3 linked regions of the Neurospora crassa OR74A genome follow. The protein of the gene in region 3 interacts with the protein of the main gene of each other region in a biochemical or structural test. Links are inferred from orthologs where the notes say so. Each region holds a gene or a part of one and is shown on either strand. Other genes may lie near its edges.

What was found.
Region 1: the proteins of NCU06929 (region 3) and NCU06485 form a complex in vitro, tested with the Saccharomyces cerevisiae proteins (2 studies listed by BioGRID). The link is inferred for Neurospora crassa OR74A from reciprocal best matches to the Saccharomyces cerevisiae genes SPT5 and RPA49.
Region 2: the proteins of NCU06929 (region 3) and un-18 form a complex in vitro, tested with the Saccharomyces cerevisiae proteins (2 studies listed by BioGRID). The link is inferred for Neurospora crassa OR74A from reciprocal best matches to the Saccharomyces cerevisiae genes SPT5 and RPA135.

Annotation. Positions count from the first base shown.
Region 1 is NC_026503.1:1,579,150-1,587,477, forward strand, and holds NCU06485 (hypothetical protein), read right to left. Parts: upstream 5,563-8,328; 5' UTR 5,490-5,562; coding exon 5,336-5,489; intron 5,263-5,335; coding exon 4,937-5,262; intron 4,884-4,936; coding exon 4,053-4,883; 3' UTR 3,529-4,052; downstream 1-3,528. Other genes in the region: NCU06484 (hypothetical protein), read right to left, coding at 1-1,098; stk-43 (serine/threonine protein kinase-43), read left to right, coding at 7,347-7,410, 7,513-7,871, 7,938-8,132, 8,186-8,232, 8,287-8,328. UniProt on the Saccharomyces cerevisiae protein: DNA-dependent RNA polymerases catalyze the transcription of DNA into RNA using the four ribonucleoside triphosphates as substrates. Component of RNA polymerase I (Pol I) which synthesizes ribosomal RNA precursors.
Region 2 is NC_026501.1:9,614,396-9,622,723, forward strand, and holds the start of un-18 (DNA-directed RNA polymerase I subunit RPA2), read right to left. Parts: upstream 4,333-8,328; 5' UTR 3,646-4,332; coding exon 3,166-3,645; intron 3,093-3,165; coding exon 1-3,092. Other genes in the region: NCU08617 (hypothetical protein), read right to left, coding at 5,141-5,220, 5,315-5,513; NCU08618 (ADP-ribosylation factor family protein), read left to right, coding at 7,577-7,626, 7,694-7,766, 7,829-7,848, 7,951-8,328. UniProt on the Saccharomyces cerevisiae protein: DNA-dependent RNA polymerases catalyze the transcription of DNA into RNA using the four ribonucleoside triphosphates as substrates. Component of RNA polymerase I (Pol I) which synthesizes ribosomal RNA precursors.
Region 3 is NC_026507.1:791,429-799,756, reverse strand, and holds NCU06929 (transcription elongation factor spt-5), read right to left. Parts: upstream 5,012-8,328; 5' UTR 4,707-5,011; coding exon 4,341-4,706; intron 4,171-4,340; coding exon 1,953-4,170; intron 1,892-1,952; coding exon 1,311-1,891; 3' UTR 895-1,310; downstream 1-894. Other genes in the region: NCU06928 (hypothetical protein), read right to left, coding at 5,491-7,777, 7,847-8,121. UniProt on the Saccharomyces cerevisiae protein: The SPT4-SPT5 complex mediates both activation and inhibition of transcription elongation, and plays a role in pre-mRNA processing.

The sequences.
Region 1 (8,328 bases), on a different chromosome or scaffold from region 3:
TGCTGTGACAGTGGTCGTGGTCGAGGCAGCTGTGGTAGATGTGACGGCTCTAGCCCCACGAGTCCGCCTAGTAATCGGACGATCGTCTTCGTCGTCACCGTCTGCGTCTTCTGCTGCTGGCTGGCTCTCGGTCTGTGCAGGTTGTTCTTCGCTAACCTGTTGGGCAGCTCCTTCCTCGGCCACCTGTTCAGCCCTTCCCTCTTGGTGTTCGTCTGGATGGTCAGCGGGCGCATCGACCATGTTCGCCTGACCGGCCAGCTCGTCCACATCGTCAGCATTGGGTATATCCGTCTCGACCTTGAATTCGTCGTCATCTTCCTCATGCGAGGCTTCGGGAATGGGTGGAGGTTGTTGTTTCTTAACACCCTTGGAACCACGGGTAGCTCTGGTGGCGTGGGTCAAGGCTTCCGGGCTTTTACTTCTTGTTGATGCGCGGGTGACGCGGGTATGTCTTCCCGAGTTGGACAGCTCGAGCAATGGCTCGTCCGTCTCTTCCGTGCGGGCTCTCGTAGAGCGGCGGGTCGGGGGAACCATGGTTGCTGGTTCTTTGGCAGCAGCGCCACGTCTTGGTCGTTGTGAGCTTGGCTTGGCGCCTTTTTTGACACTCAGCACAACGATGCGAGACTTCTTTTTGCTGGGACTCTGTTCAGGAGACTCTATCGAAGGCACTCTATGTTCTTCGTCGGGCTCCTGGACGACGTCTTTGTCTTGGTCAGACGACTGGATCCCGTCTTCGTCTTCACTGCTTTCCCTGTACGATTGGTGTCGTGCGGCAGCCTGGCGCATCCGCCTGCCCGTAGCGTTGACAGGAGCGTCCGAGTCTTCTTCTTCTTCCTCGTCTTCCTCTTCACCGAAAGAGATGTCTTGTTCGCTGTCGCTGATATCTTCGTCGTCTTCGATGTCGGATCCTTTGTATCGGCTGTTCCGCCTGCGCGCGCCGCCAGCAGCGCCTCGGTTCTTTGGGCGGCGGGTGTTTGCTTGCTTCCTTGCACTTCGCGGGGTTCGTTGCTTTTCGGCAATGGGGTCGAAGTTTTCGTCTTCGGGATCGGATTTGTTAGGGTCGAAATCCGTGAGAAAGTCCTTTTTACGCTTAGACATAGCAGATTGTTGGTGGGGGCAAAACGGCTAGGTATAATGTGGTCCAATAAGTGCTGCAACGAATAGCTCTGAATAGGACTGGGGTTGGTGGTGGACAATAGTAGGGTGGATTCCGATGGGGTGCCTATTCCGTCCGATGGCGAGAATGGGGGCAAAAAGCTAGCGGTTGGTGAATTGTTGAGCTTGCGACTGGCTATTTCGATGCGATGTTTATTGATAACAGCTATTCAATATCTAGCAGCCTGCATGAATAAGTCGTGTTAGGTCCGTGTGTGCCGTGCAGAGCAAAACAGGATGCGTCAACAGGTCAAGGGAAGCAATGGGAAGTGGGAGCAAAGGGACGGGATGGAAAGAGGCAACTGAACAACCAGAAAAAAAGAGAGCCACATACAGATTTATGTTCTGTCTGGTATGGACCTAGGTGCCGTGGGGGGGTGAAATTGGGTCAACACTCGGTCGGCTCTCACCTTGCTGTCAGGTTGACGACTAACAGGAGGTGGGATGTACCGCTGCATCGACGGAGCACTTTAGTTCAGGTCGAAGTTGCCTTGAGGTTTGGACAGAGCAAAACCTATCCAAGGGCGCAATTGAGGTAGAGCCAGACAGAGAGTCGAAGGGCATCTAGGAGAGGCACTGGGCAGGTAGGAGGATTTGGTAGAATGCGACGACTGATGCGACGATGCTTCTTTTTTTTTTTCTTTGGGTAATGCAATATGCATACACACACACACACACGGCAGCAGACACGCACACACACGCGAACACACGCCCGGCACTAGACTAGACTGCTCGCTGGGGAGTTGAAGTCGGACTGCGGTGCCGGTCTTGGTGCCGAGCTAGTATGTTATGTAGAGGTTGTAGTAGTGAAGGGAGGCAGCAGTGTGGTGCAAATCCTCTCGCGCGCGCGCATAACTTCCCGAGAGGAGAGGACTTGAAGCAAACTCCAGTCGTTATAGTTGAAAGTCGCGAAGCTGGATGGATAAGTAGCTTCACCTCGGCGGGAGATATCGAGTGCAGTCGGTCAGATGCCGTGAATTGTAGGTAGGTTGTGCAGAAGGAAGGCAGGACGGGAGGGAGGCCAGAAGCAGGGGCAAAGACTACCTAGGACTGGCGTGAAAGAAGTGTCACTGGAGTTGAGGTGGTGAGTGAATGAGCGTGGTGAGCTGCCTGGGGTGCGGCAGACGGGAGGCAAGAAGGTGGACAGTCAGCGGTCGGTCGGTCGCGTTCGTTCCCTTCATTACCAGGTAGGTCGTTCGCGGAACTGTGAACTGGAATGAAACTGGAACTGGAAGAAAGGCGCTGGTTGGCACCGTCCTGGCCAATCAGCACGCCCAGAGACCACAAAAGCTGGTCCATGCGCTGCAGGCACCAGCCCCGGCATTGCGAATCACCTCAGAAAAAATCGCAAAGTACCCCCTGCCCCGACAATTCGCCCGTCGACCCAACTTTGACGCGTCGTGAATTGAGCACTCGTATTGTCGCTGTCACCAACACAAAATTGCAGAGAATGGCTGCTCAGATTGAAAGCAGAGACATCAGACAGCATTGGGAAAGGTGCATTGAGTGTGTAAATGCAAAATTGAAGCCGCAATTTAGAGAGCAAAATAATCTGTGGAAAATGGTCGTTGAGAGTGAGACGCGTCTCAGTTGAAGATCCCAAAAGCTCTTTAAAAGAGGCAATGTCGTCATACCATTTAAGCTGGTCGGGGTGGGTGCCGGTGAGGAAAACTGCACTGGCTCTGGTCGCTCGGTGGGGATTTTCCCCACGTGGCTTTCGAATGCGGCTCAAGCGCCTTCACTCTGCACAACGCCAAGGGGTCCAACTTAAGGGGACTGGACTGGAGCGAGGGGAAGCACAAGCAGCGGCCGGCACACGGACGATGGGATGGTCAAGGCAATGGGCCAGGGGAAACGGGGAGGACGGACAAAGTCGGGGACGCTTTGGGGAGGCACAAGGGGAAGGAACTTCATCGTGGGGTGATCGGCTTCGGCCCAGCCCTACCTACCACCGACGGCGTCTCACACCGCGGGGCGGCCAGCGGCCAGCGGCCAGCGAAAGGGGACAACGGTAGAAGGTGACGCCTGGGCGGATGCCCATCCAGGGCAGCCATATAACTACCTTTTCATCTTGTTTTCTTCTAGCCTGGCCGTCGGCTGCTCTGATATCTGCGTAGGATTTGCCGCGGACATTCTTCCTGTTACATATGTTAGCTTGACGTTCGTGGTTCTGATTTTGCACATCAACTGGCGTTAGCTGGTTCAGGTTAATGATCATCTCTGCCCCATTACTCATCTCGAAGCCCGTCATCAGTTCCCATCTTCGTTATTGGGTCCGTGCGGATATCAGTAGTAAACAAACACAAAGGGGTTGGCCAAGCGTTGAGGCACTTGAGAACCAGAACCCAGGGGGGCCAGCTTTTTGTGGGGTGACCCTTTTCCTAGATTTCAATGTCATCTCTTTGACCCCATTCAGAGCTTGATAAAGACTGAGGGACAAGCTTCCCGCCATACTTCTTATGGCCCATCAATTTCCATGACTATTCTCTACATTGTCTATACAATGATATATGCTTTCTAGCCTAGCTTTTACTGCCCGAACCACAAAATAACTGATGTATACCTCGGCAAGATGCTCAAATAGTGCGGTACAGGTCATGGCCTCCTCTCGATTAGGCGCTTGGAATTTTGATTGGCCAGCGCCTGGGTGTCGCTTGGGTGTGTCTCAACAACACACCATGGTGGTTACAGGCTGGAAGCGGCCAGACTTCCAACTGAGCTGGATGATCGCTTCTCTCGCAAAAAGCATGCCTTTTCTCAGCACTTCGTAGGGTACTTCCAAACGTAAGCGCCAAGATGTCCAATGTAGGACTGGGTGGATGATGTGCAATGCGCACAATCCAACTAAACTTGATGATATGATCCGTGGCCGTGGGTCCGGCTCAGCAAAGCGTGGTTTACCTCTTCCGTGCCGGCAGTCTGATCTTGGGAAACTGAAGAGGCAGTTGCAGGACGGCAAAGTTCTCCATCTTGTCAGCGACCTTCTGTTGCTTGACGCGAGCTCCAATCTCGATAAAGTATTGGTTGAGCTGCTTCTGCTCCAGCTTCAGATCTTCTCTCAAGTCAATCGTGTTGACCCTGAAGCCGTCGATGATGGCGGCAAATGCGCAGCAGTGCGTCATCAGAAGGTCAACGTGTGTCTTGCGCATGACTCCGCCGTCCGAGAACTTGCGGCGGATGTTTTCAATCACGATCTCGGGCGCTGGTGCCATAACCTCGCGCAGCTTATCCCTCTTACCAATGCTTCTTGTGCCACGCTCCCTTCCTTGCGAGGTGGCATTCCAGAAAATGATGACGAACAAGAGGTACCGCAGTACCCTCAATCTGTGCACCGCGTCGTCGCTGCTTGCTACGTTGGAAACGCGCTTGGCGACAAAGCGCGAAGGTACCTGGATGTCTTCTAGGTTCTTGACGCTCTCCTGCCAATCCATCACTGGTATCGCGTTCAGGACCTCGGATCCGATAATTTGGGATGGTACGTAGACGTCTGCGATTTCATCGGCATTGAAGTTGCCGCGCGGTACCGGTCGGGCGTTGTCGACAGCGGCTTGAAGGTCTTCCTTGGTCGACATGTCCTTGGTGGCGGTCTTGATGGCGTCCATCATCACCAGCTCGCTCTGGCCAACCTTTTGAGATGTAATGGCGTTCTCCGTCACGTCGCGGATCGCCTTCTTCGCCTTCTTAGTACCGAATGCCTCGCCGAGCTCGTTCCTCATGGCCATCATTTGCTGTTGCACCGTCAGTCTGGTTTTATGCCCCTGACCACTACTTCCAGGCTTACCTGTTTCTGAGTCTTCTCTTCCATTGCCTCGTCAACCGCCTTCTGCGACCTAACTGTGCCACGGAGCACCATCTTGCGCGCCTCTACAATCTCAACCTCGGCGGTTTTGGGGTTGAAGATGCCAATGTAGTGCTTCAGGTATGGGTCGGACGAGTCTCCTGTCCTATCTTCGCGAGCTGTGTAGTCCATCGTCCGGTGGTTGGCAGAGTGCAGCAGCAACTCTTGTGCGGGCGCGCCATTCTTCTTGCGCTTCGAGGTCTTGTCGGCTGGTGTGGCGTAGGCTTGAAATTGTATGGACGAAGAGAGAGCGAGTCCCGAGGTCGCGGCTAGGAGCGCATGTTAGAGTCTTCCTCCATTGGACTTGACGGCCATGGTTTCAGCCGATCAACATGTGCTTACCCACGACCGGAGGCGCATACTGCGGCCTCTTCACAGCTCCGACATTGATGAACTTGGGCGACTTGGACGATTTCTCGGAGTCGACCTTCTTCTTCTTGATTTGGGGTGTTGTATCCTCAGCGCTCTTGCGCTTCTTGTCTGATGAGCTTCCCATGGTGGTGTTTGCGGGCTACAAAGGTGCTGGGGTAGTGTAGAGTCGTGAAGTCCCGCCAAATCAAATGGATCATGCAGCTGGAGAGTCGCTGTCTGAACTTCCGAGTGGATCCCGCAGCCAGAAAAAAATTCTGCCGCCTGCCGGGGTCCGGTATCAGTTACCGCCTTTACAATCGACACACCACATTTGATGACGACGATGCAATATGTTTGATGATTTGTGTTGAAATACTACGAAGCGCGAAATCTTCATGCTATGAAATCAATTGCTATTGGTTTGCTGTTAAATTGCTTGGAGAGATGAAGAATAGCAAGCCGCACGCGTGCTAAAACAATCAACCAGACATGGAGGGGTTCAGTCCAAGTCACAAGGCAAACCAAGGCTTGGGACGCGATTTCTATGCCCTCGTGCATGCAGGCCACTGCCTTCCCCGTCGTTGAAAATGTTCACTGATGTTGCAAAAATTGGTATTCCCTTTGTGTGCAAATGCCATGTCACCTGTTCGAGGGCAGATGACCATGTTGTCGACAGAAACAATTGATCCAAGACATGCAGTCCCGTTTGTCACAGATGCAGAGAAGTGTATCATGAAGCGAAGCGGCCTTTATTGTTGCTGCGACGGGTATCCCGAATTCGCGTCTCCAAACTAGACAGTTTGCTCCCACCGGCGTTGATCCGTAAACACCTTGTTGCTACTCAACCATGAAGTTGACAGGCAACCAGCCAATACCATATCCGCCACCAAACAGTTCCGTTCTATGTGTGCCACAGTTTGATGTGCAGCATGTCCCGAGGGGTGCATGTTCCGTAGGAACCCTGAGTTCGCCTGATCACCGCAAGGTTTCAGAGCGACCGATGTGGCGTCATTCCGCGCTGAGGGGAGGAGTCGACACCGAGCCCAAGTTGTCTAATGGCTTAGAGGATAATGTCAAGAGCTGATTGGGTCGAGTGAGGCGAGGCGTTTATTTGCTGGGATCGAGTCAGCTTATATGCTCCTGAGTGGCGATTGTAGCTGCATCAACTGTCGATGCGCCGATGGTGAAACTTACGATCTCGCTCTCATCTTTCTTCTCTTGCGCTTAAGGCGTCTCACGCGCTTCTTTCTCCACTTCGCTCTCATCTTGAACTGCTTGTATGTCAGTAGGCGGGCAAGCAAATGCTGGGGGGCGGGAGCGCGTACATCTTGGATTTAAAGATGAGTTTTGCTTGTTGGTGATGGGAAAGAGTTTCAACTTGCGAATGGAGAGGGGGAACTTTTATCTCATAGGGCTCCAGGGCAAGCAGCCCTGTGGGGTAAGTCAGGTGACGCAGGCCCAAATTGCCCAGGCCTGCCGCTCTTTGTTTGGATGCGGTCCGTGCGGGGTGCGACCTTTGCCCTAGGTGGCCCAAGCTCCCGCTGACGGACGGGAGCTTCAGCTGGACTGCATCAGAAGCTCGGCTCGGAGATCGACTCCCGTCTCGTCCTCCAACGAGCGAGCCTGCCTCCCGCTCCTACTAATGGACACTGCACTTTCACTTCACTTGCAAGCTGCACCCGTCCAGGTCAAAGGAAGGCACGACCTGTCTGCATAAAAAGATTTTCACGATAGCTGGACATGGGAAGGAGGAGTCGATCCTCAAGGCACCAACTCACTCTTCCAATCTCGTCCTGTGATCTTGAACTCTGAGTGTCGTTCCCAACCTTTACCTACTTCTACTTCTCAATACGCAAAGCCACGGTGGGCCATGAATAGTCAACACTATCTACGGACGCAAGTGACGACATCAACGCATACATGAGTGAACGTTGACATTGCCGGCTTTATCATTATCATTATCCTTTGTTTTCCGTGTCTCGGTGTTGACAGCTGGTTTGATATGTCGCAACCGCCTGTGGCAAGTGTTTCCTTCGAAGACACTAGCACTGCTCCTCCTACAAGAGGTAGGTATCTGTCATTTCCCTGAAGTGATCGTGAATACTGTGATGTATCCCTCGCTGGTCTCCTCCAACCAGTGCTCCCTAACTTTCGTGTCGCAAGTCCAGGCGGCTTTTACATCTGGCCAAACCAGACAGTCAGAATTGGTCGTGACACGGACCGAGATAATAATGACGTTGTCTTTGTCGATTCCACTGTCTCAAGAAACCACTTTGAGCTGTATTCTATCACTGTTGACGAAGAAGGTCGCCATACATCACTTGTGTTTGTGCGAGACCGACAGTCTTCCAACGGGACTCTGCTCAACAAAAAGTGCGTTGGGAAGAAGCCAGACATCACTCCGGGAAGACTACTCCAGAATGGGGATGTCATCTCCATATATCCTTACATCACTTTCAAGTTCGTTCAGCTCGAGCAGGGAACTTCGTTTTTGCGGCTCACTGCACGCCAGCGAGAGGAGCTCAAGGTACTATTGTTATCTTGGCGTGCGACGAAAATAAAACATGCCATGATCTGACTTAGCAACATCCAGCTCCTTGAGAACCGATACCTTGTGGAAGACCGCACATTAGGAAACGGTGCCCATGCTGTGGTCTACCTAGCCACAGATGTCTTGACAGGGCAGCAGGTGGCTTGCAAAGTGCACAACTTAGATAGACGGCCCCGGTCACACCAGATACTCCGTCGGATCAAGCAGGAGGCAATGCTGTTGAGCTACCTCGATCACGTAAGTCATTGAAAGGGCACGGGACGATGGATCAAGCTAACAAAAGTCGTCAGCCGAATATTCTTTCCATCAAGGCTGCCTTCGAATCAGAGCATTCGGTGTAAGACCTTCATCACGAGCAGCTAGCAGGGTTGGGCAACTAATGTATCTCTAGGTATATCTTTACAGAGCTGGCTACTGGTGGCGATCTCTTCTC
Region 2 (8,328 bases), on a different chromosome or scaffold from region 3:
CCCGGCACCGCAACGATGGTAGTGTTCTCTCCACCGATCCACTGGGTACCGCTGCCATCTTCCCAAATCTCTCCGTCAATCTGCATGAGATCGACATCCTCCATATCGTCGAGCCTGACCGCGCAGTTCCTGCACCTAACAGTGCTGACGGCCTTGCGCTTGCCGATAAATGGCGACACGGTGGGTTGCGTGGAAAGGAAGGAGCCGCACTGACGGCACATCCAGCTCTTGGAGTAATCCGAGCAGTTGAGAAGACGGTCCTGAAGGAGGAACGAAGTACCGTGAGCGAGAAGGGCATCACGCTCCATTTCACCGACACGGATACCACCACCCTTCTTACGACCCTTGATGGGCTGACCAGTCGTAGGCACGACGGGACCAGTGGTACGCACTTGGTACTTGTCGTTAACCATGTGACGCAGACGCTGGTAGTAGACCACACCAATGTAGATATCCGCTTGGAACTCCTCGCCCGTAATACCCGAGTAGAGGGGCTCGTTGCCGTGGTAGTTGTAGCCAGCCTTCATGAGCTGGTGGCCAAAGTAATCGCCCGCCGTGTTTTGCTCGTCGAACTTGAAGGGGGTGGAGTCCTGCGCGAGACCGTGCAGGGCGCCAGCCTTGCCGGCTAGCGACTCGACAAACATGCCAATGGTCATGCGCGACGGGAAAGCGTGAGGGTTGATGATGACGTCGGGCTGGATACCGGTTTCCGAGAAGGGCATGTCGGTGGCGGGCCACTTTTGCGAAAGGACACCCTTTTGACCGTGACGAGACGAGAACTTGTCACCAATGACGGGGGAACGGGGAATGCGCAACTTGATGGAGACGGTCTGCAGGGGCTCGGTGCCATTGTCGGCGCCGATGACGCGGACTTCCTCTACAAAGGCGTCTTCCGAGTCCTTGTACCGCTCGTAGTGAGTGACGCCGTCGCGGTTGACGAGCTGGCCGTTGTAGTCGGCGGAAACGGTGTGCCACGCGCAGATGACGTCGCCCTCACGGAGAAGACGGCCGACGCGAGGGAGACCGTCGTTGTCGAGCATGTCGCGGGTGGACTCCCGGATGGTGCTGTTGGGCGCGAAGCCAAACATCTTGACGATGCTCTTGGCCGAGCGTGTCCTGCTGTCATCCTTGAGACTGACCTTCTTGGTCTTGTAGATGCTACCGTGACCAAATCCTCTCTCGTGTGCCGACTTGTTGAGAATCATGGCGTCGTCCATGTCGTAACCAGTGTATGAAATGACAGCGACGACGGCGTTCATGCCGTTGGGGAAGTTGTCGAAACCGTACGTGTTGTGCAGAGGTGCGCGGACAACAGGCGTCTGACCCGTTTGGAGACGGTACATCTTGTTGTCCGTACGGTGGGCAAGAGCCGTTGCTGGTGTACCCATGGTTTGCTTACCCATCTGACACTGGTACATGTTACGGGGAGACTGGTTGAAGTCGGAGAAGGGGGTCATGTTGGCGAGGATGGAGAGGATGTTAGTAGGATCGAACTCCACGTGGGTAGAATCCCCGGGGATGACCTCTTGCTCCGTGCAGGCAATCGACATGTAAGGCTGCTCCTGAGGACCGACAAAGTCCTCCTTCTGCAGAGGGAGGTACTTGACGGGACGGACCATACGAGCGGGCTGAGAGGACATGTAGAGACCGGGGTAAGAACCGCCGTTGGAAGGAGGGACGTAGCCAATCTCGAGCTGAAGAGGTACGCCGTTCTCGCCGTTGACCTTCCAGTAACGGAGAGTCTCGGCGATGGACTTGCACTCCTCAGGGGTGCACCAACCGACGATCCTGCCATCAAGCATAACGACTACGCTCTCGCTGGTGGCAGCCGAGGAAATGTTGACAACGCCGAGCTCGAAAGCCAGACGAGAAATGGTAGAGGCGTCTACAGACTCCGTCATGATCTTGCACTTGTGGGCCAAATGGTTGAGAAGACCGCAAGGAGAACCATCAGGAGTGTGGACAGGGCAGAGAAAACCCCACGATTCGGGCAAAAGCTTACGGACCGTTGTCGTCTTGAGCTGGGCGAAGAAGGAACCACGATGCACCATGCGGAAGTGACTGATGAAACGCAAGAAGTTGAGCTTCTCGGCAACGACGGTGAAGCCGGAAACCTGCTGCAAATCGAGACCGGAAGGGGACACAAGGTTGCCGGTAGACAAGAAGTACTCGAGCGACTGACCAATGTTTTCGTTGGCCCTGCGGAAGATGGCGATGGGGAAGTCCTTGAGGAAAGTGTCGGACTGGAAAGATACCGTGGGGTTCCTCCTGAGGTAGTCGCGAAGGGAGGCCCGGAAGGAAACGGTCAACAGCTCCTCGAGCCTCTCCTTGATGATCTGGCCGTAGAGGAAACCACCCAGGAGAATCTCCTGGTTCTGGACGGCATCGGGGTTGTCGACAGCGCAGTCACCGGCAACGAGGGCGTACAGCTTGCGGCACATGAAGAGCAGCATGTTGAACTTGTCGGCATCCTGCTGCTCGGTGACGTCCTGGGAGCCGAGATGGACAAGAACAATCTTGCGGAGGAACTCTGTGCCAACCTCGTAGTCGGACATGGTGTCGGGGACGCCGAGAACGACGCGGAACTTTTGGCCGAGGTACGCGCGAGTCTGGGTCTTGCTGTAAAGGCCGTATTTCTTGTAAGTGCGGAGGAGGAGTTCGACGCGGTCGGTCAAGAAGGTGTTGGCGACGCCCTTGGACTGGGGTGGGCCGACAAGACCCTCGAAGATTTCTCGATCGTTTGTCTCAACGAGGGCCTTCATGATCATCATGACGGGGATGAGGTACTCGTTCTTTCTCCACGAGAAGCGGAAGGTGACATTGCCGTCGCTGAGGTAGTGGAGGACGTTGGTCTGGGAGGTCTCGTCAGGGCGGACGGATCGCATTATGATACCGTACGGGGTGTAGGAGGCGCCTCTGTTCTGGAAACTGGGACGGACGATGGCGAGCGGGAAGTTTCTCCGGTTGACGAGGAGCATGCGGATGAGCTTTTCGATACCATTGACGATGAAGTAACCGCCCAATTCTTCGGACTCTTCCTTTCTTGCTACCAGCTGGGCAGGGGAGTTGTTTTGGAGGTGGCACTTGTTGGACTGTTTTTTTCGCAAGCAGAATTGTTAGACATCGATGATGTAGACTGGGAATATCTCGGGTCACCAGGCTTACCTTGACCATGATGGGCATCTGGCCGAGCTCGCGCACAAACTCGTGAGGCTCGCCATCGTTGATGCGATACTCAAAGGTGGCCGACAGCTTGCCCCTGTATGAGACATGTCGTTCTCTGCACTCGGCCGGGAAGATTTCACGGTTCTTGGCCCAGCGGTTGGTGGGCGGGACCTGAGACTTTTGCAACTCGATGCTCTTGTAGCGGATGGTGAGCTTGTTCTTGCCCTGGGGATCAGCGCGCTCATCGCCGTCTAGGAATGTCTTGGTGCCAATCTCGGCCAGAGCGTGGTCGAGAAGGGAAGGCTTGCCATCGTCGCGGAAGAGGGCGTTGAAGGACTCGATGTGGGGGTCGACGGCGGCCTGGAGGGCGGGATAGGCGGTGCGGTCGGTCGGGGGGTCTCGGAAGAGCTTCTCGCGGCGGACCTGGTTGAACTCGACGTCCCAGTCCTGGCTGGTCGGCTGCGGTTGTTGGGGAGCCATTGTGTGTTGGTGTGTGAGGAGGACTTGGGGTCCTGTCCTTGGGTGCAGTATCTCGGGATATGCGGGTTGGTGTTTTCAAGGTGGATATCAAACCCAGAAGTATGGATGGGCTTTTGTCTGCTTTCTAAGCAGCAAAGTGAAGCGCTCCTTGGATTATTCCTTCATAATCTGCCGGCTGGGTATCGGGACGGTTGTCAGAGATATGCGCCGGGGGCATTGATCTCTCAAACGGGATATATGGTTTGGTTTCGTTGTTGACTTGGACTGTTTCCGTCCCTTCAGTCAGTCAGTCGCAAGCGTGGACACCGACCTTCAACTTTTCGAGCGCGTCAACAACTAGAATTGAATGCGCCGCCCGCCCCAGCGCTGCATTGATTTTTTTTTTCCTCGAATTGTTAGAGCTTATCGCTTATCGGACTACTGCCCCACAGTTCGATTTTGTCAGGTTTGGATGACGCTAAGCCGGACGAGGAAGTACCAACAGGGTCCCGATGGCCAGTGAGGTGCTTGGTGCCTGGCGTCGGTGCTGTGTAGAATGCCGTACTGAGTGAGTACTGAGTTTAAGCTGAGGATGGAGGTCCATGAATGGCACGACGAAGAGAGGAGACACAAGATGTGGATGATTCAACGGGCACGCAGTGCAACCTCAACATGTTCCATCCCGGACATGTCAAGATTATTGTGCACAACAGGTGGTTCACTTCTTCCTGTTGATATCAGACCCTTTTTGCACGCCACTGGAGTGTCAAGTTGCTTGCCGTGACGTTGTGACCCATGAGGATGGGACGGGAGTTGGAGGTTCGTCAGTGGTTGAGCTCCACAGCAGGAGACTGTTCATTGGTCCAGTAGTATAGGTGATGACATTTCTTGAGGAGGAGAAAGTCGGCAGTCTTCTCAGCCTTTCCTCACAATGTTGGCTTCTTCCAACGGCCAAATGTTTGCTTTTCAAGTCGAATCCCGTTGGTACACTAGTAGATTGCATTCCCCGAGAGGCCATATGGCGGCCGTCTTCGAGGCCTAACCTCATGGCTTTCCGGTCCCGCCTCGCTTCCAGCCTCCCATCCTAGGTACCTATGGTAGGTAGTTCGTCTCTTTCCCGGCCGAATGAGAAGTGGACTTTGGACACTTTGAGTCGCTTCGGTGATTATCATCAGCAGCAAAAGAGCTCATGGCCCGAACATGGGCGACCACTCTGCCCGGCCCTATCGCGGACTGTGTCAGTATTATTGAAGAGGGAGTGGCCGTCGGCCTATAAGTCAGTCAAACCAACGGCAACCTCAAACCCGTTCATCCCATTCAAGGCCGCAAAAACGGTTAGCACAAGTTGAAGTGGATCAAATGCCATCACTCGAATCTTCATCCGTACCCGGCGCGTCCTGCATTGCCTGTACGTACTAGTCCTCTCCGCAAAATCTATGCAGCTGCCTACACTTATGCACTGCACTCTCCCCTCACTCCGCACTCCGTCAGACGGGATGGTCGTTTAATCGGGCAATCACTGGTAATCTTGGATAGCCATAACTGGCGGGTTGTGGCATTGGTCAATGAGCCTGGAAGAGCCTCGAGTGGTGATTACTGGTGGTGGTTATCAGCATCACTGTTTGTGGAAGTACTAGATAAAGGTCAAGGCAGCAAGTATCGCGGACTGGAACTTCTTCCCTCCACTCACCAAGACATCTCTTAAGCCCGAGGCAAAGTGGCCCTGTCTCCTGGTGACCTTGATTGAGCCTTGGGGCCTGTAAAACAACACGAGCTGCTCGGGTTTCACCATGACTGTATTGAACTTGACGAGAAGCAGTTCGAGTCATTAGAGGTATAGTGTCTCTCCTTGGTAACCACATTCCCTTGATGTCGCCTTCCACACTCATGTGATGGCTGAGGATTGATCGATCTCACTGAGCTCAACAAGAGAAAGTCCAAAGGGCTCCTCCTTCCGTCATGGGCCTTGAAGCGTGGGGAATGGAACCTGCCCCGAAGCTCAATGGGCCAATCAGAAGAAGGCAACTACCCCGCTGTTGCGTCTGTTGGTGGCCTCTACAATACACCACCTTCCCGTCTTGATCCATTCAGGGTTCCTCTTGTGCTGTAGGCTCAGTCTTCAGGTCTACTTACCAGTCCAGTCGCTACTACTGTACAATGACAGACAACAAAAGTCTTGACGGAGTCTTTCAAATTTTCACACAAACTTGACTTTTGACATCTCGGCCTCATATTACTGCCCGTAGTACAATTCGGATCCGTCCTCACTCAACCCTACCAGTCACACACTATCTCCTCGTTCAGCGTCGAGGAACACAAACAACGGTTCTCCAAGGATTACACAGCTTTGGGAGACGGAAGAGAAAAAAGGGACTAGAGCAGGACAGATCCATCCGGCTACCGAGCCCTGATCTGATTGTCCCTGGCGAGCGAGATCCATCCCAGCCAGTTCCCGGTCTTGATTGATTGATTGATTGACAGACGGACGAACCAGCAGCCATCTTGCGTCCACATATCCAACGAACACTACTGACCCGAACGAAGGCGACTTTACCAGGCTAGACTAGACTCTGTTGATTGATCTACATATTCTACGTACTGGCCCGTTGACTGCGCACGCACAGAACGCAAGCAGACGGGAGCACTCAACCAACAACAGAAGCAACAGTCCCTGCAGTATCTGCCATCTGCCATCCGCCATCCCATATAAGGGAATCCCAGCATCAGCATCAGCATCAGCATCAACATCCCGCAGCGGCAACCTCCAGTTCGATCCAACCTTATACACCTTTCCCATCCGCCCTTAAACCAAAAGACCCGCCGATACTACAGTACCTACCTGACTCTTCAGTCTCCAGCCTAGTCACCTTCAGTTGTCTTGTCCCGAGACTTGACCATTTTGGCACACCGTCTTCTCTTCCTCGTGCGACCTTCAGTCTTATTGCCGCCTCCGCCTCTGCCGCCATCAACCCCAGTCTTTCCCCCGAGCTAGTCTAGTCTCTAGAGACCCTAGCATCGATTGATACTCTAGACACCCTGCTTTTGCTCTTCCCGGTCCCTCTTTTCAGACGCTCTCGTCCGTGATCACGGGCGGGTATCACACAGTTCCCTTTCTAGTTCCAGTTGGCGACTTCCGTTTCCAGTCTGTCTCCCCCGCCGATGATCATCTCCCAACACTTGCTACCTCGACTATTCTCGCTCATCGATATCCGCCATCGCACGCTCGCAGTCTGATCACCGCCAGCAACTCTGGTTTACTACTGCCCTGGGAGGGAAACGAATGAAACCCGGGTCTTAGCCGCTCTCATCTGTGTACTACAGTTAACAAAGTACATCCGTCAAATCATCACGGCTCGGGGCACGGACCACTCTTCCTCCAGAAGGCTTCCTCCAGAAGAGAGAGGTCATTCATCATCTCACCTTGGCGAGCGGCGGCCCGTACGGAATCCCAGTCGCTCACACACACACACCTACACACAGTCAAGTCACCCACTCGGTCACTCTCACACCCGCGCGGCACCCCAGCAGCAGCCAGACAGCCAGACAGCCCCGCGTCGGCTTCGGACGGACTATCCTCAACCACCCCATATCCCACCCAGATCGCACAAGAACTGCATCTCCCACCTCGTTGCGAGATTTGCCAGCCCGCGACGGGTGTGCCAGAGTCATACGAGACATTCTACTTTTATTTTCTTTTCATTATCTGCTCTTCGTGTGTCCTGTACCATACCTGTTATATCGTCTGCCTGCAAAAGTAATATCCCGACTGAGACCTGCCTGCCGCTCTGCGTGCGCTGCTGCTGTCAATATCCGGACCATACAACCTGTTGATCAGTCCGGTCTACGCCTACGCCATTGTCTATAACTCCTTCGGATCCCGACGATTTTCATTCGTTCTCGTCCTGTTCGCATCTACTACCGCCATCGCATCACTTCACATCAATTACCCACCATGGCCGGGCTCTTCAAAAAAGTCTATGACTGGTTGCTCAGAACTTTCTGGTGAGTAGTCACGGAAGTGGCCCAGTTTGTCCTATCGCATCGATTGCTCACATATCAGATACAACAGGGCAACGGAGATGGATGTGACCATGATCGGCTTGCAGAACGCAGGAAAGACGTCACTGCTGAGAGTTATTTCGGTGAGTCGCCAATGCCGCCGTCCACCTCTTCCATAGCTGAAGCTTTTGCTGACCAATTCCAGGGCGGAGAATTCACCCTTGAGTAAGCCACCTCTTTTTGGTCCCATTCCATATTCCATCAAATCCCCTCCTGACCCCCTCTCCCCTTCCTTATCCCCCGCGACTAATATCACACCACACATAGCTCTATCCCAACAGTAGGCTTCAACCTCAAGCGTGTCCAACGCGGGCATGTCACGCTCAAATGCTGGGATCTCGGTGGCCAGCCGCGCTTTCGGCAGATGTGGGAGCGCTACTGCCGAGGCGTCAACGCGATAGTCTTTATCGTCGACATCGCCGATCCTCGTCTGCTCCCGCAAGCCAAGGACGAATTGCACTCCCTTATGCGAAACGAAACCCTCCAGGGTATCCCCTTGTTGGTGTTGGGCAATAAATCCGATTTGCCGGAACGGTTGAGTGTCGACGAGCTGATTGATGCGATGGATTTGAAGAGCATCGCCGGACGGGAGGTCAGCTGTTATGGGATCTCGGCCAAGGAGGAGATGAATCTCGATGCGGTGCT
Region 3 (8,328 bases):
GGACATTGAGAGGGAATGGTGATTGTAGGGGGTAAACAACCATTTCAAGGCATCACATCGGACAAAGAGACAAACGAGGGCATTATTCTTCCGCTTGCTTCCTTTGGCCCCCTTCGAATACAAGTAAAGGTGTTTGCGTTTGCGTTTGCGTTAGTGGAAGTGGGTGGCCCATTGAAGGGTAAGCTGTACTGCTGGTGGTTTCTGTGGGTCATGCTTTAGCTAGAGGTAATCTTCTTTGTCCAAAGTCAAGGACGGGAACCTTCGAGGGAGAGCTGGAGTTGCTGCATGCGAACATTGTGAAGCTGGGAGACAAAGAAACAGGCTGGCAGCTCGAACCAAGCATTGACAACCCAGCGTGTTTTGTTTGCTCCGGAATGGGCAATCGACACTTGACCAATCCGTCGGCAAGGGGAGAGAACAAAGCCATCATTGTGTCGAGTTCTCGTTGCGACGGGAACGTCGTCGTCCTCACATCAGTCAGTGGACTGTGACCGAAGGGGACAACTTGTCTGTCTCTCTTTCAGGCCCCGGCCAATTGCTGACTGGACCCCATGGCTTCATGGCAGCTGAAGTAAGAGATTGAAAGAAAAAGGAACAGGAAGTCAAGGAATCAAATAAGTCGCGAGTGTTGTGGGCTGACAATTGGATTCTCTCCAGCTTTGTGTGTGGTGTTGATGTTGGAGAGTGGAGATGGATGTCGATGCACGGATGAAGCTGCGAGGGAGAACAACACAGGTCTGTGCTTGGCGGCGGCAAACGGTACGCTAACCCTAACCCCTGATTCAGCATTCATCATCATCAAAGTAACAAAGAACATGGACACATTTCGACGTTCCAGCAATTTAACTGCCTCGACTTTATAAGAGAAAGTAAAAGAATTATACTTCATAGGATGGGTCTCGATCATTCCATGCATAGATATTTGAGCCCAAGAAATTACGTAGGAGTAGTAGACAGCGAGGGACGGACAACGTGTGAAGACATCAAGGGTATCTCAGACAAGGCTGATGCTTAAGCGATGAATATCCTGCTCAAGTCACGGAAGAACAAACACCAAGCTGAGGAAACCGCCTTTTCCGCTAATTTATTCCTCGATTTGCTTCCATTTGCACTGCATCATACCCATGTCATGCTTCCTTTGTATCCTCATTTTCCACTGGATCCCTTGCGCTCCTGACTTTTCCGTCTTGCAAATGACTGACACCCAGAAGACCCCAACTAACGTACAAAAAATCTAGACGCCGGACAACAAACGTGAAAGCTTAAATCACATCCTCCTACACCCTAGGACTCATCACGGAATTTGGTCTCTAATCATCATCCGCATAGCCCGGTGCTCCCGGCGTAGGGGCACCCAGGGCACCCGGTGTCGGCGCACTTACAGCATCACCGCCACTTCCCCAGCCACCCTGCCAGGCCCCAGGAGTGGGCGCGCTGACAGCAGCCGGCGTCGGAGCCGAGTACGCCCCAGGTGTAGGAGCGTTGAGTGCCGCGCCGGGAGTGGGCGCGCTTAGACCGCCACCGGGCGTGGGCGCATCGTAAGCTGAGGATGAGTTACCGCCGCCTGAAGCGCCGGGCGTGTAGCCCCAGGCATCGCCGCTAGCCCCAGGCGTAGGAGCAGAGGCACCGTAACCGGGCGTTTTGGAGCCCCAGCTGTCGGAGCCGGCCGACCAGGCTGGTGTTTTGGAGCCGTGGCCGAAGCTGTCGGGGGCGGGGGTGCGAGAACCCGAGTGCCACGCCGGAGTGCGGGATCCGATGCCACCGTAGGCGGTAGCACCACCGTAAGGAGTGCGGCTGCCGTCGTAGGGATTGACGGTACGGGAGCCGTCGTTCCAGGCCGGTGTACGCGAGCCGCCAGCGTCGCGGTTCCAGGCAGGGGTACGGGCTGTGGCTAGTGACAATGTTAGCTTCAGGCAAATAGTGATGATAAAACATGACAACAGAAAACTTACATCGAGAAGAGCCCCAAGCCGGTGTACGATCCGATCCGCCCGAAGCCATAGGGGTCCTGCTTCCAAACTCGCCGCCACCACGTCCTCCTCCACCAAAGCCACCACGGCTGCCACCGCGCTGGTTGATGTCAATGGTCTTGCCAGTGACCTTGTCCTTGAAGCTCAAATCAGCCTTGGGAATGGTGATAATCTTTCCCCTAGAGTGCAGCTCCACACGAGCATGAGTGTCCGTTGTGTCCTTGACGATTCCGAGCAAGCCCTTGTAACCACCGCGTCTAATAACCACGGTTTGGTTAATGGCCCGATCAGGTCCGAAGGTTCGCGGAGCTGGCATTTGCTTGCCGCTAGCAGTGGGGTTCCGCTTCAGGGCTGGGTTCATCGCACTGAGATCTGGGCCCGCAGTAGCAGTGTTGCGACCACCCTTGGCCGCGACCGTGGTGACGCTGTTAGCCCGAGTGACGAAAACACCAGCATTCTCGTTGGTGGTCGTGGTGTGAAGGAAAATGTAAGAGCGATGAATGTGAATGATCTTGCCCTGGCGTTGCTGGCCACCATATTCACGGACCACGTCGTCCAGCCTGATTTCGGAGCCGTTGCGGTCAGCAGCCACAGCGAACTTCCTCTTGGGGAGCTTGTTGGTGATTTGCGACGGCTGGACCTGTTTGGTATCGCCGTTCTGGTCTAGCACCACGACTGACTCGCGATCAACCTTAACGATGCAGCCGACAGTCGTGGCATCCAACTGCACAAGATCCAAGAGGGAGTACTGTCCAAGAGAGCCTTGGCCACCAATATCAGATGCCTCACGGAGGTCTTTGCTGAACACGGTGATCTCCGTGTTGGTCTGGTCTGTGAGGAGGGTGACTCTGTCGTCCACGATCTTGACAACCATACCAACTTCGTCACGGAACCGGCTGCCACCAATGACCTTGACGTGGTCACCAATCCTGAACCTCTTGCGCAGACCCTTGTTGGGGACGTCGATGGTCCGGCCAGCAAGATCACCCTCGGTAACCTGCAATGTGACGATGTCGCCTTGAACATTGGTGGCCTTGCCGATGACACCCTGCTGCTCGCCCTCATACACCTCGATAATATCACCAGGGACGTACGCAACACTCTTAGCGCTATCCTTGAGAGTAGCAGCAAGAGCCTTAAGATCGAGGTTCTCTGTACCGTCCTCGGCTCCACTGGCGAACTTGGTAACCTCCTCCAACGTAGGGTTGACATTCTTGACCTCGAGCTGCTGGATCTTGATGTCTTTCACCTGGAAACCGTTCTCGAAATCATCGCCGTTGTAGTTCCAGCTGTTGGTCTGCGGGTTCCCCTGGAGGTAACGGGGGTGTCTCTTGCGCGCCTCGGCTTCACTGAACAGACGCTGGGGAGGACGAGGGCCGGGCACACCGGGGCGCTTGCGCTTGCCATCGGCCTGGAAGACGGGGTCATCCCTGACACCGTAGTCGAGTCTGGGAATGAAACGGACTCTGGCCTCGAGGCCGTTTTCTGTAACGTCGATAACCTGAGCAAGATCACCGGCGTGCTTGGCCGGCTTCTTGAGACGAACCCAAGCGCCGGGCTCCAGGTTAGGCGTCTTGATGACACGCAGGAGGTCGGGCATGTCCTTGATCTCGACGAGGTGCATGTTGCTCCTGGGATAAACGTTGAGAATGCCATCGAGAGCCACGAGAATATCGTTCTGTCTTTGAGCCTCAACGTAGATGTATCCCTTCATGACCGAGTTGATACCACCACGTTCGAAAGCAGCCGTGATGGGGACCTCGTTCTTGGTGCCCATTCGCTCTTCGATACGACGCATAATCGAGAAGATGACCTCACGCTCCTTTCCTTCTTTACACCTGACGGCCCAAATGCTGGGGTCCTCGACACTGGGAAGAAGCAAGCGACGGGGCACAATGGCCATGTCTCCGTAACCTCTAGCCGGGGCGCGCTTGCCGTAGCGCTCACGCAGGATCTCTGCCTGTTTCTCAGCGTCGAGGCTGGCCTCCATCTCTCGGCGGCGGTCGAGCTCGCGGTGTCTTCTGTCATCGTTAAGGCGGCCGCTGTCGGCAATATCGTCAGGGTGGGCATTGTCGATGAAGTCCTCTATCTCTTCACCGTCGCCGACTTCGTCTTCTCCCTCGTCTTCGTCGTCAACTTCGGCTTCGATATCGAAGAAGGCAGCTCTACGGTCCTTGTTGCGACGCTTGCGACGATTGCCCTGCGGACAAAAGACAGCGGGTTAGCTAGGTCCCCGATGTGGCGACACGGGTAGGTTTGGCGGGTCATCTGCACCGGGACTTGTCTTTTGTTGTTTTTTTCTGGCAAGTGTGGATGGGATGGTGCTGCAGAATTGAAGTGTGGAGGGACATTATTGGGATCCGGACTTACACCATGAACATCATCCTCGTCTTCCTCATCTTCCTCTTCCTCTTCGTCCTCCTCTTCCTCCTCATCTATCTCCTCGTTCTCCTCTTCATCTTGCTCTTCATCCTCGTCATCGTCGTGGTGATCTCGACGCGATCGCTTGGCCGGGCGCGCGTCTTCCTCTTCGTCATGTTCCTCCTCTTCCTCTTCTTCGTCTGGTACCGGGCTACTAGCCTGCCTCACGGTCTTACCAGCGGGGCGGTGGTTGTGCGTGGTCTCTTCGTCGTTGTCGTTGTTCTCCTCGTCCGACATGTCGGCGGGGGCGGGGTTGAAGTTGTCATCGTCGGACTCGTCGTCGGCGCCGGCGAACTGCCAGCTGTTTGACGCCATTCTGAATAATTTATCTGAAAGAGAGCGGCGAGCGACAGGGGTGTCGTACAGTCGTACTACCGGCGGTCGCGCGTTGTGTCGAGGTGTGGGCGAGAGATGGAAAAGGAGAGAGGAAGGGAGAGATGGCCGTAGGTCGCGAGATGTGGGATTATATTTGTAGGTGAGAAAAGGAAGATTGGCTGGCCTCGAGCCGATGGATGATGTGGTGGGAAATGGACCGACTTTTGAGGCGTCGACTCGCTGTGAGTGTTCAGTTGCAGACTTGCAGCAGCAGCACCGCGGGTCGTGAGGCGGAAAGAGAGCTGCACGGCCCACAACTGGACAGTGAGTGGGTGGACTTGGAAGCACGGACGGTCACACCTCCACCCCCGGTTGGTTGAGGACACTGGACGGCAGGGGAGTGTGCTGCTGCTGCTGCCAAGCACTGGAATAAGCCGCTAGGCTATTCGCGGCCAAGGTCAGGTCTCCGGCCGGCAAGAGGTTCCTTTTGTTCAGGTTACATTCGACCAGGACCTTGCAGTCCAGGACGGGTACCTAGGTAGGTAGAGATACCTCATCGTCTATTCATTTGCGCACGTGGCTGAAGTACAAGTACTTTCAGCTGATAGAGTATGTAGAAGAGAGCGCTGCACCGTGATAACCTCCCTTTCGTTTGCCCTTGTCAACACCATTACTAGGCAACCTTTCATACCTAGTAAACACGGCCAAGTAAAAGTCAACTCCTGGCAGAGACAGACAGACAAAACTATCTACATGATACAGCGCTCCTCCAGGAAAAAAACAATCACCTGACCACCTCCTTATCCTTCCGGGTGACCGTCTGAATGAAGCTCTGATACTGCTCATCTTCCGCGGTCTCCATCATGATTCTAGCATTCCGCCTCGGTGGAAGCTCCCTAATCTCCGGCTTGGGTATCTGCTTGTTTGCCGTCGTCCACAACACTCCCCCCGTCCTTGCCGCCTTTGGCGCTTTCAGTTCCGCCGCCGCCGCTTCCTCCGCTCTTGATGGAGCATCAATCATCACCACCTCCTTGTCCTTGTCTTTCTCCTTCGCGTGTTGTCCCTTTCCAGACCCGGCCGCGCCGGCCCCGTCCTGCGCCTTATCTCCTTCTCCTTCGCCGTTCTCTGCCGTCTCGGTGGGTCTGGGCAGCCTCATGGCCAGTAGAACGTATTCGCTTCGTTGCATGGTATCCATGATATCGTCCATGTACCTCTTGACCTCTTCCTCCGGCGCCACTACTCTTGCCAAATTATCCAGCACATGTTTGCCACTGGGAGCCGCCGTAAACAACCTTATAGTTATGGGCTGGTAGTAATCAAGCTCCGGGTCCGCCATCGGATATACTGCTTTGCTTCCCCTCCTGATGATAAGGAATGACGCCACCACCTGCTGTTGCTGCTGTTGTTGTTGTTGCTGTCCTTGGGTACTGCTAGCGCTGCTACTGGGAATAGTCTGATAATCCAGAATGCTGAACTTCGGAAAGAGGTACCGATCACCGTTTCCTCCCGCAAACTCGAATACGATGGCCGAATAATCAGGTTGTTTGGGCGGCGGCGGGGGGCCCTTTGAACGAAGCGCCTGTTGGGCCGATGACTTGTCGGCTTTCTCTCCTTTCTCCTTTGTGGCCTTTTCGGCCTTCTCCGTCGTCTTCTTCTCCTCAGCAGCGTTGGCCTGTGAGGTCGTTCCTGTACCGCCATCAGTCCCATTGCTCGCGCCGTTGGTTTGTTTCGAAGATCCCGCTGCCGAAACCGTTGATTGGCGTCGTTGCTGTTGAGTCTTTTTAGTGACAAGGTTAGAATGCGCGAGGTCCAGAATCGCCTTAAGATCCGTGGCATCGGTGGGTTGAGGCTTATTGTGGGCTATACGCCGGACCATTTCCTTCGTCTTTTCATCGTCCAGGGCCATCTTTACTAACGAGACCAGGAGAGCATCGCTGTCTTTGGGCGGCTGTAAAGTAGATGATTTTTGCTTAGGGTTGGATGCTAGAACAATGTCAAGTATTGCAGCTACCTCATCCGCAAAGTACTGGACCGTTTTTCCATCGACAAACAACTTATCTGCAGCTGGTGGCGCCGGAATGTTGCTTTGCCGTTTGCTCTCTGACGTGATGGCGTCAATGATACCCTGGAATCGCTCGAGTTCCTGCTTGGAGGCCTCTCCCTGGGCCACCCGCTTCATGAGATCTCGGAGTTGGGGGTCTTCGCCAGCCTTCTCGGCTAGCATGAGAATGATTGGATCTGCCCCCGCAGCTGGCTTGGCTGGTGCGGCGCCATTGGCAGTGGTTCTTGGCGTGGCAGGAGCTGCTGGAGCTGCTGGAGCCCCTGTTGCTGGTCTGGGGGGGACACCAGATGGTATTGAGGGGGTGGCCGGAGTCGCAGCACTTGGTGGAACGGTTGGTGGGACGGGCACTGGTCGGGGTGGTTGCGCACCAGCAGCTGGTGCTGTGGTTGGGGCCCGCGGAGCCGCCAAGGACGGAGATGGTGAAAGAAGTGATTCGATGCCTCTAGGCGTTCCAGCGGGCTTCGCGAGCGTGGATGGGGCCGCAGCAGCTGGACTAGGAGCACTTTGCGCGGATGGTTGTTTGGTCGGCTGTGTCTGTGACGTCGGGTGTACTGCTAGCTTGCCTGGTGTTTGAGGCTTGGCCTCCGCTTGTTGTGTTGTCTGAGAGGTGACCTTTGGATCTGCCTCTGTTGTGGTCGGTTTCTTGGCGTCTGATGCAGCTGGCGTAGGTGTTGACGAGGTTGAGGCCGCCACTGACTTGGGCTTGGGTGTAGGAGGAGGCGGCATGACCCCATTCGGAGGTCCGTATTCGAGGATCGGTCGCTTCTCGGTTGGCGGTTTTGGCGGAGGGGGGTTGGGGTCCTTGACTGCGAACATTGTCGCCTCGAAGACATGTGGCTCAACCGTGATTGTCACCTGGCCCAGCTTGACCATGCTGTCCTTGGGAGGATTGTTGGGTTCCTCGATGACGGCACCCCTCTTCTTTATCGGCTTCGTCCAGTACTTTTCGAATATTTGCTCGGTCATCCATTGGTTACGCGATCGGACAAAGGACTCGTGGAGAACGCCGCTGCGAAGTGGTCATGTTAGATTCAGCCAAAGCGCATGAACGCGCGGGGGTTTGAAGAGGGCTGCACACCTTTCTTGCAGAGTCTGATAGTCCTTGGTCGAAAGGTCTTCCGGCTGCGGTTCCTCGACGGTAGGAAGCGGCTTCCCTGCTGTGACGGAGCTGGGCAATGTCTGCTTGGGTGGCTCCTCCACAGTGGGCTCTGGCTCGGGCTCCTTTTGGGGCGCGGGCGCTGGGGTGGAAGACTTTCTCGAGGTCGGAGGCGTGTCGGTTTGTCTTCGCTTGGCGGCCTGCTCAGACCTCGCCGCGGCACGAGGAGGTAGCTTGCGCTTCTTTTCCGTAGTCATGGCTTCACGCACGCGACCCGACCCGGTACGGTACGGTACGGTACGGTACGGTACGTTTCTCGTCGTGATGTGGAAGTGAGAGTGGTGCACTACGCAATCGGCATCGGGACCTAGACAATCGCGAATGTCGAGGGAAGGTGAATATTGGATGTGGTATCAAGGGCGTAAAATGACGTGTGTCTTGGGAGGTAGAGGGGGGGGGTATCA